2 linked regions of the Cricetulus griseus genome follow. Each later gene encodes a partner of the first gene's protein in a complex. Links are inferred from orthologs where the notes say so. Each region holds a gene or a part of one and is shown on either strand. Other genes may lie near its edges.

Evidence for each region. The genes of interacting proteins can lie anywhere in the genome.
Region 2: Sf3b3 (region 1) and Htatsf1 share a complex: the UniProt entries of both Homo sapiens proteins name them as parts of the 17S U2 SnRNP complex. The link is inferred for Cricetulus griseus from reciprocal best matches to the Homo sapiens genes SF3B3 and HTATSF1.

The regions. Positions count from the first base shown.
Region 1 is NC_048596.1:187,228,876-187,234,606, reverse strand, and holds part of Sf3b3 (splicing factor 3B subunit 3), read left to right. Parts: intron 1-1,348; exon of another isoform or gene 1,349-1,436; intron 1,437-1,650; coding exon 1,651-1,788; intron 1,789-2,737; coding exon 2,738-2,841; intron 2,842-4,622; coding exon 4,623-4,788; intron 4,789-5,731. UniProt on the Homo sapiens protein: Component of the 17S U2 SnRNP complex of the spliceosome, a large ribonucleoprotein complex that removes introns from transcribed pre-mRNAs.
Region 2 is NC_048604.1:15,371,250-15,376,876, reverse strand, and holds the end of Htatsf1 (HIV Tat-specific factor 1), read left to right. Parts: intron 1-533; coding exon 534-623; intron 624-1,445; coding exon 1,446-1,583; intron 1,584-2,098; coding exon 2,099-3,400; 3' UTR 3,401-3,724; downstream 3,725-5,627. UniProt on the Homo sapiens protein: Component of the 17S U2 SnRNP complex of the spliceosome, a large ribonucleoprotein complex that removes introns from transcribed pre-mRNAs.

The DNA.
Region 1 (5,731 bases):
GCTTTTTTCCAAGACAGGGTTTCTCTGTGTAGCCCTGACTGACCTAGAACTAGCCCTATAGACCAGGCTGGCCTCGAAGTCACAGGGATCTACCTACCTCTGCCTCCTGAGTGCTGGGATTAAAGTTGTACCCTACCACCACCTGGTCTGTCTCTCTTTGTGCATGTATGCTAAGGTACATGTATGGAGGTCAGACAGAGGACAAACTTCAAGAGTCTGTTTTATCCTTCCATTGTGTGGTTCTCAAATTAAACACAGGTTATAAGGCTTAGCAAGCATTGCTATCTACTGAGCCATCTCACTGGCCCTAGTGTAGTCTCTTAAATTTGTCTGTTGCCAAGTTTTAGTGAAGTAAATGCTCTTTTTCTAAAACCGGTATTTTTAAAAGGGGAAATTGCAGTTTTGTTTATTATTTTCTAACCAGGAATAGGCTCAAAATTTTCAGTTTAGTTCAGGATAAACTTGTCTTTCTGTAATCCTTGTGTCCTTCCAAGTGACAGGATTACAGACATGTGCTACCTTGCCTACTTTATTCAGCTCTTAGACCCAAGGCTTTGTGCATGCTAAGGGAGCACTCTGCCTATTGAGCAAATTATCACTAAAGCAGTACCTACCTATTAATTGTGAGGTTATAGAATACGATGGTGGTCTTTGAGATTTGTAGATATTCTTTGCTCTGCAGTCTTCATCCTGTGGATACATTACTGATCTTATTTTGAATCACTTCTTACATTGTTTTACTTTAGCTTTGAATTATTTATTTTTAATATTGGCTCTGGGAAAAATATTGCTGGGTTAAATCTTATAGGATTTAGTTAGTTGGTCTGGGTAGAAGTCCATCAGTTTCCTAAAAACCTAAGTAGAAATTGAATCTTGGTAAAAACAGTGAAATCAGACTGTTGATCAGACATTTACTGAGCATCTGACTGCTGGCAAATTGTATTCATCTTGGGGCAGTAGAGAGCTACAGAACTTCATATTTTACCTGCAGAAATATTTTATAAAATGTTAACATTAAAAACTCAAAGCACTGGGACTGGAGAGATGGCTCAGAGGTTAGAAGCACTGACTGTTCTTGCAGAAGACCTAGGTTCAATTCCCAGCACACACATGGCACCTCACACCTGTCCGTAACTCCAGTTCCAGGGGATCTGACAACCTCACAGACATTACATACAGCCAAAACACCAAAGCACATATCCAAAAATAAATTTAAAAAAACCCAAAAACTTAAATAACAGTCACCTCTAAGGGGTAGAGTGGGGACTTGGTGCTACACCGGTTGGTTAGTAATGGATTGTCATGGTAGTTTGAATGAATGTGGTTGTTGTTCTTAAATTTTTATTCACAGCCTGAAATGATGACTTTAATTTCATGTCTCTTCTCTGACATTTTTCTCTGGAGATGATTTTTGCTTTACTGATCTGATCAGGCTGTAGAATGGAATATTAGCTGTTTCTTTGTTCCTGGGTGTTTAGTATGTATTTCTAGCAGACAAGTTTTAGTTATTTTGTTCAGTTGGCAGCTACTGTGGTTATTATTTGTATGTTAGACCTTGATGGTCTGTATAGTTCCTATTGTTAAAGTACTTAATTCTAGAATAAAAAGTACCTATTTCTAAGATGTTGATTATATATTTGGCCTTACTAGAATGACCTGGATGACCCTGAAAGAGGAATGATTTTTGTTTGCTCTGCCACCCATAAGACCAAGTCCATGTTCTTCTTTTTGGCTCAAACGGAGCAGGGAGATATCTTTAAGATCACTTTAGAGACAGATGAAGATATGGTAAGTAGACCATGGATGGAGGGGGGAAATATGTATCTGTTGTAGTCTATTTTTAATTTGAATATAATTTAAAACTCTTGTCTAAAGTACTTGGCTATATATACATGTAAGATTTACAAAGCTGCTTTGCAACCATCATAACTTTTCCCTGCATTAAGATAGGGAGTAAGTACACCTGATACTTGACAAGTCAAAAAGAGGGCTTTTGCCTTGTCTTCTTGTTTTGTTCTATTTGACTGTGGTCTCATGGAGGCCTGCTTTTTTTTTTTTTTTTTTTTTTTTTTTTTTTTTTTTTTTTTTTTTTTTTAGAGGAAATGGAGTGGGAGTGAATCTGGGGAGAGGAGGGGAGATTGTGGGGGGCTGGGAGAAGTGGAGGGAGGGAGGGGAACCTCACTGGGATGTATGGTTATGAGACAAAAACATACTTTTAATTAAAAGAAAGAAAGAAAAAAGAAATTTAGATACCTTAGAAAATGATTACTTTTACTTTTGGGTTTGAATGTGAAAATGGGTTTTCCTATTCTGGCTAATGAGTATCTGGTCTTGTAAAGCCATAACAATAATTGATGTGAATAGGAGAAAGCTCTTCATGTCTCGGTAGTTGATAAAATGCATGGTATTTTATTGACGTGATCCTTAACAATGGACATTTAGTTACCTAGGTACTGTTTAGTTGGGAATTGCTAAGATTTGTAAAGGTTAGGTAGTCATTTTCAATTTTTCTGTGTCATACAGACTCAGTCTAAATTAACTTTGGCATTGAAACAGAAAGAGCAGTAGACCCAGCAGTCTGAGTTATCATTTGTTCCCTTTTCGTTTAGATACTGAGCATGGTGGGGTTTTGTTTGTTTGCTTGTTTTTGTTTTTTTACTTAGTTCTGCTTGTGGTGCATAACAGCAGGCTTCTGTGGCCAAGCTGCACTTGCCTTTACACTAATCTTTTTCTCCAGGTAACTGAAATCCGCCTGAAGTACTTTGATACTGTACCTGTTGCTGCTGCAATGTGTGTGCTTAAAACAGGCTTCCTTTTTGTGGCATCAGAATTTGGAAATCAGTGAGTAATCCTTTTATTGTCCCAGTTTACCTTGGTTACCATAAATAGTAAAAGTTGGCAGAAGGGAGGTGTGGTTGGTGTGGTTTCAGAGCTAGGGAGGTTTTCACAAAGTAGTAAAGGTTTTTCAGAACAAGTAATTGCTTTCATTTTCTCTTTGTTTACATTTTCCCCAGCCCTTCTTTTCTATTGCATATTCTCTCTCTTATTTAATAAGTGTTTTTTTTAAAGTTATTTAAAATTTTATGTGTATGTCTGCTGAGTATGTATATACACCACATGCATATAGAAACCTGAAGAGGGCATCTGGAACTGGAGTTACAGATGATTGTGAGCCATCAAAATATGGCTGCTGGGGAGGCTGGAGAGATGGCTCAGAGGTTAAGAGCACTGGCTGCTCTTCCAGAGGCCAATTCCCAGCAACCACATGATGGCTCTCAACCATCTATAATGAGATCTGGTGCTCTATTCTGGTATGCAGGCAGAACACTGTATACATAATAAATAAATCTTAAAAAAAAAAAAAAAAGATATGGATGCTGGGAACCGAACTCAGGTTCTCTGTAAGAGCAGCAAATGCTCTTAAACTACTACCTTCCCAAGGCTTCCCTCCAGTCCCATTTTTCTGTTCTTTTTTTGTGTGTGTGCTTTATTTCATGGCTTCAGTCACTGCCTCTGAATGTCTGCAAAAATACCTTTAGCTGAGTGTATGGTGGTACATACCTGGATTCCAGCACTTGGAAGGCCAAGGCAGGAGAATCTCAAGTTTGAGGTCAGCTTGGGCTACATAGTGAGATGATTGTCTCTAGAAAACTAAAAACCAGAGAGATTCCTACAAGAACTTCTTGTGCAGACCTAAACTTGAAGGTCATTAGTACCTACACTGCCTGCCCACATCACCAGTGTGCCATGATCAGGATTTTTTTGTTATTGACTAAAAGAGCCACTTCTAGTAATTTGTAAGTTCTTAATTTATTTTTCCTCTACTACTTTTAGTCAAATGCAGAGTTCTCTTTTTACTTCTTTTTGTGGTTTCAATCTAAATTTAACTCGATTGGGTTTCCTGCAAAATCCAGTCTTCATAGAGTTGTCTCCATGCCACCTCAACAAATTAGAACAATCCTTATTGACATATTTCCTGTATCTCTGTATTAACAGTATTTGGTGAATTTTCACTGCCAAATGGAAGAAATCTCAACTGTAATTGCTATTTAAAACCAATATCCACAACTTCAAATGACATAAATGACAAGGTCTTGCCAGTAGCTGCTAATATGTATGCAGAACACTTACTAATTTAAGCTCAGTTTTCTCATAATTAAAATACAGATACTTTCTAGGAGATTGTACTATTTCTGCCTTGTCTCCAGTAGAAGCATGTGTGAGTATATAGGCCAGACCTTACTGTCAGGTATTTTCCTCAAGGCTCTTTACCTTATTTTCTGAAACAAGGTCTTGGGTTGAACCGGAAGTACACTGATCCATGCTTGTCTCCCGAACTCTGAGATTATAAATGGGTATTACTGCATCCTGATTTTTACATGGGTGTTGGGCATGTGTACTTAGGTCCCCATGCTTGGATGTTAAGCACTCCTCCAACTGAGCTATCCCTAGTCCATACTCTTTCTTCAACATGCCATTTGCCTAAGTACCTTTTTTCATCCCCGTTGAAGTTTTTACAGCTAACTTTGAATCACATCCCATTTCTTAGTATACTGAAATCTGACTATGCTTAATCGTTTATGCATAACCTGTGTCAAAGAAAGTTCTTTGCTTTTTCCCAGCTACTTATATCAAATTGCCCATCTTGGAGATGATGATGAAGAACCTGAATTTTCATCTGCCATGCCACTAGAAGAAGGAGACACATTTTTTTTTCAGCCAAGACCACTCAAAAACCTTGTGCTTGTGGATGAACTAGACAGCCTCTCTCCCATTCTGTTTTGCCAGGTATGACTTTATTCAATCACCTCTACACTGTGCCATCTTGTTATTAAATTGAAATGTGATCATTTAAAGTTTTCCTCAGGTTGAATTGTAGTCTTAACAAACAACTTGTCTGTGGAATCACTGCTGTGAAAAACTGGTAGTTAAAGGAGTTCAGGGCCTAAACCTATCAGTCTATGAGGGGTGTTTGTTTTGAGACTCTGTGTAGCTCAAGTCTAGTTGTGAACACACTATTCTACTGCCTCAGCCTCCTGAGTGCTGGGAGTACAGGGTTAAGCTGCCCTGCCTGACTAATTGTGTAAGATTGAAGTTCAAGACTGTCCTTGGTGCAATTACATATGAGTTGGCTAGCCATATCAAAAGCATATGTGTAGATATATAACTATTAATGGGTCTAATAAATTTTTGAAATAGTACTTAAGGTAATTGGAACACCTGTAAACTTATGTTAAAATTGTTTTTATGAGTGACAAAGTTATAATCAATGTAATTTGACTCTTTTAAGTGGAAGAAAACACTAATTTCAGATGCAGGTTATAACAAAACTTCATTTCACTAAATGTCAAAGTTCCTTTTTGACTTCTGAACAAATTACATAAGTGTTTGGTTTTTCTTGTTTTTTTTTTTTTGTTGTTGTTGTTGTTGGTGGTGTTTTGTTTTCGTTTTTTTTTGTTTTGTTTTGTTTTTCATGACAGGGTTTCTCTGCATTCCTTGCTGTCTTGGAACTCACTGTGTCAACCAGGCTCAGGCTGCTGGCTTCTTCCTGCCTCGGCCTTGTGAGTGCTGGGATTAAGTGTGCCACCGCCACCCAACAGTGTTTTGTGGGGTTTCGTTGTTTGTTTAATGTGGAACACTAGGGCCTTTTCTCTTATCCCAGTCAGTAGCCATTATATAACTTTAAACCAGAGAATAGTTTGTCCTTTCATAGTTGTATTTGAAAGCTTAG
Region 2 (5,627 bases), on another chromosome or scaffold:
TTCCAGACTTATGGGAGGAGAATCCTTCTGAACTGGAGACCAGCAGTGGTACCAGCAATGCTTCAGAGTGTGTGTGTGTGTGTGTGTGTGTGTGTGTGTGTGTGTGTGTGTGTGTGTGTGTGTGTGTGTGTGCTTTTTTAGCACATTCATGTGGGAAAGTAGCAAAAACATTTTCCTGTGTACTTTAAAACAATACACACACACACACACACACACACACACACACACACACACACACACACACACACACACACACGTATAAGTATATAGATTTCCTTTGATACTGTGGACCTTCTCTTTGCCATACTTCTCCATTTCCTCTCTCTCTCAATGTGAATAGACCTGAACAGTAGCAGTAAGTGAAGTCATCTAACTTAATTCTATTTTGACTTTTTCATCTATTACTGTAGTCTGCAGACAAATGTACCTAACTTTAAGCAAAGCACTTTTTCATGTTAATTTGACACAGTAATAAATTTGGTTCTTGAATTAAGAAGGAGGGAACTCCATCTTAATCATGTTTGTTTTTGCAGGATGATCCATTGGTGCTCAATGAGATCAGAGAAGACCTTCGAGTAGAATGTGCCAAGTTTGGACAGATTAAGAAGCTCCTTCTGTTTGATGTAAGTTCATGGCTTGCACCAGTAAGGCCTGACATCTTTCCAAGATGAGGAAGTGACTTAGATTGCCCTGGATTTTAGATTAGTGTTTTTATATCACAGGCCTGCTGTCTGTCAGCAATAGTTCAGTCAGTGAACATGGTTTACAAGGCAAGTCTTGGATTGTTTTGATGTGCCAAGTTTATTTCCCTTCCTTCTGACTCTTAAAAGAGTATGTGATCAGGTGAGAGCAACTAGAATAAAAATGTATGGAATATCAATTTCCTCAAAGTTCTTGCCTTTCTCTGTTATTCACCTGATCATAGTCAAGGAAAAAAAAAACAACTATTGTTTAGTTTTCTCTGTACTTCCAAGACTGATAGAAAGTACTTAACTGACCATTTCTTACAATGTATTGCTGGTATGCTGCAAGGGGCTTTATACATTGTGCTGCTTAACCCTCAGAACCCTTTGAAGTAGGTAGCTACTAGCTGTACAGATAAGGAAGCCACATCTTTTCAAGTAGAAGTAGAAGTACTTGTAGAAGTGCTTGTTCAGTTCCTGACAGGCAGGCTTTAATCTCAAATTCACACTCAAACAATTACATGGCCTTAGCTCTTGGGTAGTATTGTTAACAGAAACATTTGCAAGGGCACTGTACTGGTTCTTGCTAGACAAAATGAAGCTAAAGAAGCAGCTGACCACTGGCTGGAATAAAAGGGAAGAAAGATTTCAGAAGTCTTTTAGTTCAGAGTTTCAGGAGAATACTACTCTTTATCAGTCTTATGAAATGTGTATCTGATTTTTAATCTTGTCATTCAGTCCTCCTTCTTCTTGTCTTTTTAGAGGCACCCAGATGGTGTGGCCTCTGTGTCCTTCAGGGAACCAGAGGAGGCTGATTATTGTATTCAAACTCTTGATGGAAGGTGGTTTGGTGGCCGTCAAATCACTGCTGAAGCCTGGGATGGGACTACAGATTACCAGGTAAATCCTGCAGCTCTCAAGGGCACAGGAACTGTTGCCTTGTCAACTGTAGATCTAGTTTGGAGGTTGCTTTAATCTGTTTTGTATAATACATCTTGTAAATAATGTTTTGCATTAGAGGATAGAGAAATTCTTATCACTTCTCAGCTTGTAAGTCTTTAATTTGGAGGTTTTAACCTCAGAATGATAAGAATAGAAGAGTGCTAACTATTCCTCATCTTTCTTGTTAAAGAGAATGTACAGAGCTCCAATAGTAATGTTTTAGGAAGTGGAACATTTCAACAGTACTGGGATAGTCACATATATTTATATGATTTTATTGCAGGTATATTGTGTGTAAGGTTGTGTAAACAGGTATATAGTTTTGAAGACCAGAGTAAGGACATGCATGGATTGCTTTAGAAAAGTTGCTTTATAGAACGAGGGTACTTGTGTCAATAGTAGAACTTCCCAGAGAAGTTGTTGCTTCTTTTTGCCTAACATTCATCTTAACCGTAGTCTCTGTTTATTCACAGGTAGAGGAGACCTCAAGAGAGAGAGAGGAAAGGCTGAGAGGCTGGGAGTCCTTCCTCAATGCCCCTGAGGCCAACAGAGGCCTCCAGCGGATGGATTCTGTCTCTGCTTCAGAACAGGCAGGGCCTTCCAGAGGAAGGCATTTTTCAGAGCACCTGAGCATGTCTACCACAGGTGCTCAGGAAGCTACAACTGGAATAGCACTTGAAGAGCCTATCGATGAAAAGAAGTTTGAAAAAGCAGAAGATGGGGGAGAATCTGAAGGAGATGCTTCTGAAAAAGATGCTAAAGAAGGTGGGTACGAGGAAGGTTACCCTGAAAGAGAGGGTGAAGAGGGCTCCTCCAAGATAGAGTGTGAAGAGGGCTGCCCCAAGACAGAGTATCAAGAGGGCCACCCCAAGAGAGAGAGTGAAGAGGGCTACCCCAAGAGAGAGAGTGAAGAGGGCCACCCTGAGAGCAAGCTTGAAGAGGGGAATCCTAAAATGGGATCTCAAGAGAATGGCCCTGACAGAGAATCTAAGAAGAAAGGCAAAGATAATTATGAAAAGAATGGCCTGGCAAAAGAGTCTGAAGACAATGAGCTCAGCAGAGAGTCAGAAGGGGAAGAGAGCCTCAAGAAAGAGTCTGAAGATGATGACTCAGAGGAAGAATCCAAGGAAGACTGCCCAGAAAAGCTGTATGAAGATGACTCTGACAAGGAATTAGAAGAAAATGGTGTTAAAAAAGATTTCGACCAGGATACCTCTGACAAGGAGTTCCCTGAAAATGTTGAGAAAGAGTCAGAAGAAAATGACACTGACAAATCAGAAGGTGATGAAGGCTCTGAAAGAGTGTTAGGTGAGGAAGGCTCTGAGAGAGAATTTGAGGAAGACTCAGATGAAAAGGAGGAGGAGGAGGAAGAGGAGGAAGAGGAGGAAGAAGACAGAGAAGAGGAAGAAGTTGTATATGAAAAGGTTTTTGATGATGAGTCTGATGAGAATGAGGATGAAGAAGAAGCAGAAGAAAAGGAGTGTGAAGATGCTGATGACAAAGAGGAAGAAGATGACACAGATGACAAGCTCTTTGATGACTCCGATGAAAAGGAAGATGAAGAAGATAGAGATGTAAAGCAAGATGAAGATACCAATGACAAGCTATTTGAAGATAATTCCAATGAGAAGTTTTTTGATGAAGAAGAAGATGCCAGTGAGAAATTGTTTGATGATTCTGATGAGAGAGGGACTATGGGGAATGTGAAGGAAGATGGGTCTCAGTCCACCGACAGCAGCTTTGCCCTCAGTAGTGATGATGATGATGAAATGTAATCCTTTCCACTTGCTTTTTAGGGAGAGCCCTGCGTCTCTGTTTGCCTGTGCTTCAGGATCAGTAGTAGTGTTACATCAACAAGTGCATAGTGGTAGGATGCCATCAGACTAATGTCTCGAAGGTTTTTGTTCTTACCTATAACAATGAATTTAAATGTGTCTATTGGTTCTTCAGTTAAAACTTCATAGTTTAACGCAAGGAAACTGGATACCTGTCGTTTTGTTGGATTTGTTAAATGCATGCAAAAGAATATTTTTAAAGTATCCTAATTGGAGTTTGTGATATTCAGAAATAAAGATAAATTGATAATATGCAGAAACTGAGATGTGGACTTGAGTTGATATGTGTTTTGAATCAAATATCACTTGATTCCTCCCACAGTCCTTGTTTCCACCTGTGTCACCATTTGGGATAACCTTCCCCATTCTGCAGTACAACATGGTCCTAAAGTCACAAGATAAATGACATTTTAGATCCTTTCCCCAATCCTTGGAAGTTACATGTTATCTTTTTTACTCTTTCTATTAAGACTAAGATGTATAAACTGAATTCAATGTGGTCTATACCTTCAATTATTGAAAATAGAAGGTAATCAGAGGTTGACTATGCTGGTTTAGAAGATGACTAAAGAGATGAGTTCTCTCTCCAGAACAATGTACGCACAAGCATTACACAGCTTCTTATATACAGTTTGGAGAGGCCCATGAATTCCTCTGGAGATTAAGAACTTTCTCCCTAGGAATATACTTTGTGTTTTGTTTTAGAGTCACAGTTCCTAGTATTGTACCATGTCAGATTGCCCCAATACAATTATGAATCATCCTTGATCGAGCTTTCTCAATTCAGTATTGGTGAACTTTCTAACAATGTAGTGTCTAGAAGTTCTGTTGGGAGCAGTGAACTCCATCAATGCTCAAACACCCACTTACTAGAGACAATCTCTAAAGGAAAGGCATGCTTTGCCTTCTATACACATTGGTTGGAATGTGCAGTTCTACAACATAAATTAGGTATACAACTCTGCCAAGAGAGGTCTTGGTGGGAAGTGTGTAATTTTGACTCTAGTGGCAGCAAATACCTGTAATCCCAACCCTTGAGAGGCAGAGTCAGTGGTGCTGCAAATCCAAGGTCATCCTGGTCTCCATAGGTTCAGGCCAGCCTCAGCCTCATAGTGAAACCCTGTCTCAGAAAAGCATAACTTGAAAATCCAGACCCTGCCATTTGATCAGTTGTTTGGGGGGATTAAGAAGGATTAACACTGGTTGGCAAAAACTCCTTACCATTTGTAGATGGGAAATATGGCAATTCCCCATCTTTTTGGACTTGATGGTCAGCATTGCCAACCCTAGCAGCTTACCATCTGTACCTGTGTGCCTGTGTTTGACACGCATACGCGTGTCTGTGTTTCAATTAGGGTATGCTGTCCCCATAACCTGGCCAATTTTTCCAAGTTCTTACTTTTTTTTATTTTAGAGGCACTCATATTTACATATTCACCCCCCATTCCCTCACCCTCCCATCCTCCCATGTTCCCCACCAACCCCCCCAATTCCTCCCCAAGGATAATGAGGCCCTCCATGTGGTACCTTCAAAGTCTGTCATATTGTTTGAGGGAGGGCGTAGGCCCCCCTTGCTGTATCTGGGCTGCAATAGTATCCCTCCATAGGGAATGGGCTCCTAAAGTCCATTTGTGCTCTAGGGATAAACACTGGCTCCTCTCTTAGAGGTCCCATAGACTGCCTTGGCCTCCTGGCACCCACATTCAGAGGGCTTGGTTTGGTCCAATGCTGGTTCCCCAGATTTATTCGGTAAAAAAAAATACTCATGCTCTTTTCACAAACAGCTATGAAATGATTAATAACTTGTGCAGTGGCATAAACGAATTAGCAAAGTCTAATAGGCAAAAATAATGAAAATATATACATGTATGAAATTGTCAAATAATTTAAAAGCACACACTTGCTCAACAATTCTCTCAGTTTTTGCCCTTAATGTTTCTTAAAGGCTGGAAAATTGGCTCAGAAGTTAAGAGCACTTGCTTTTGCAGCAGATCTGGCTTCAATTCCCGACACCCCATGGGGGCTCACAGCAATCTATAATTCCAGTTCCAGGGGATCCAGAGTCCTCTTCTGCCCTTCACAGGTATTAGACATGCACATAATGCATGGAATTCATTCAGACAAAACAACACAGAAATTTTAAGAGTTTCTTAGGACTGACTATCCA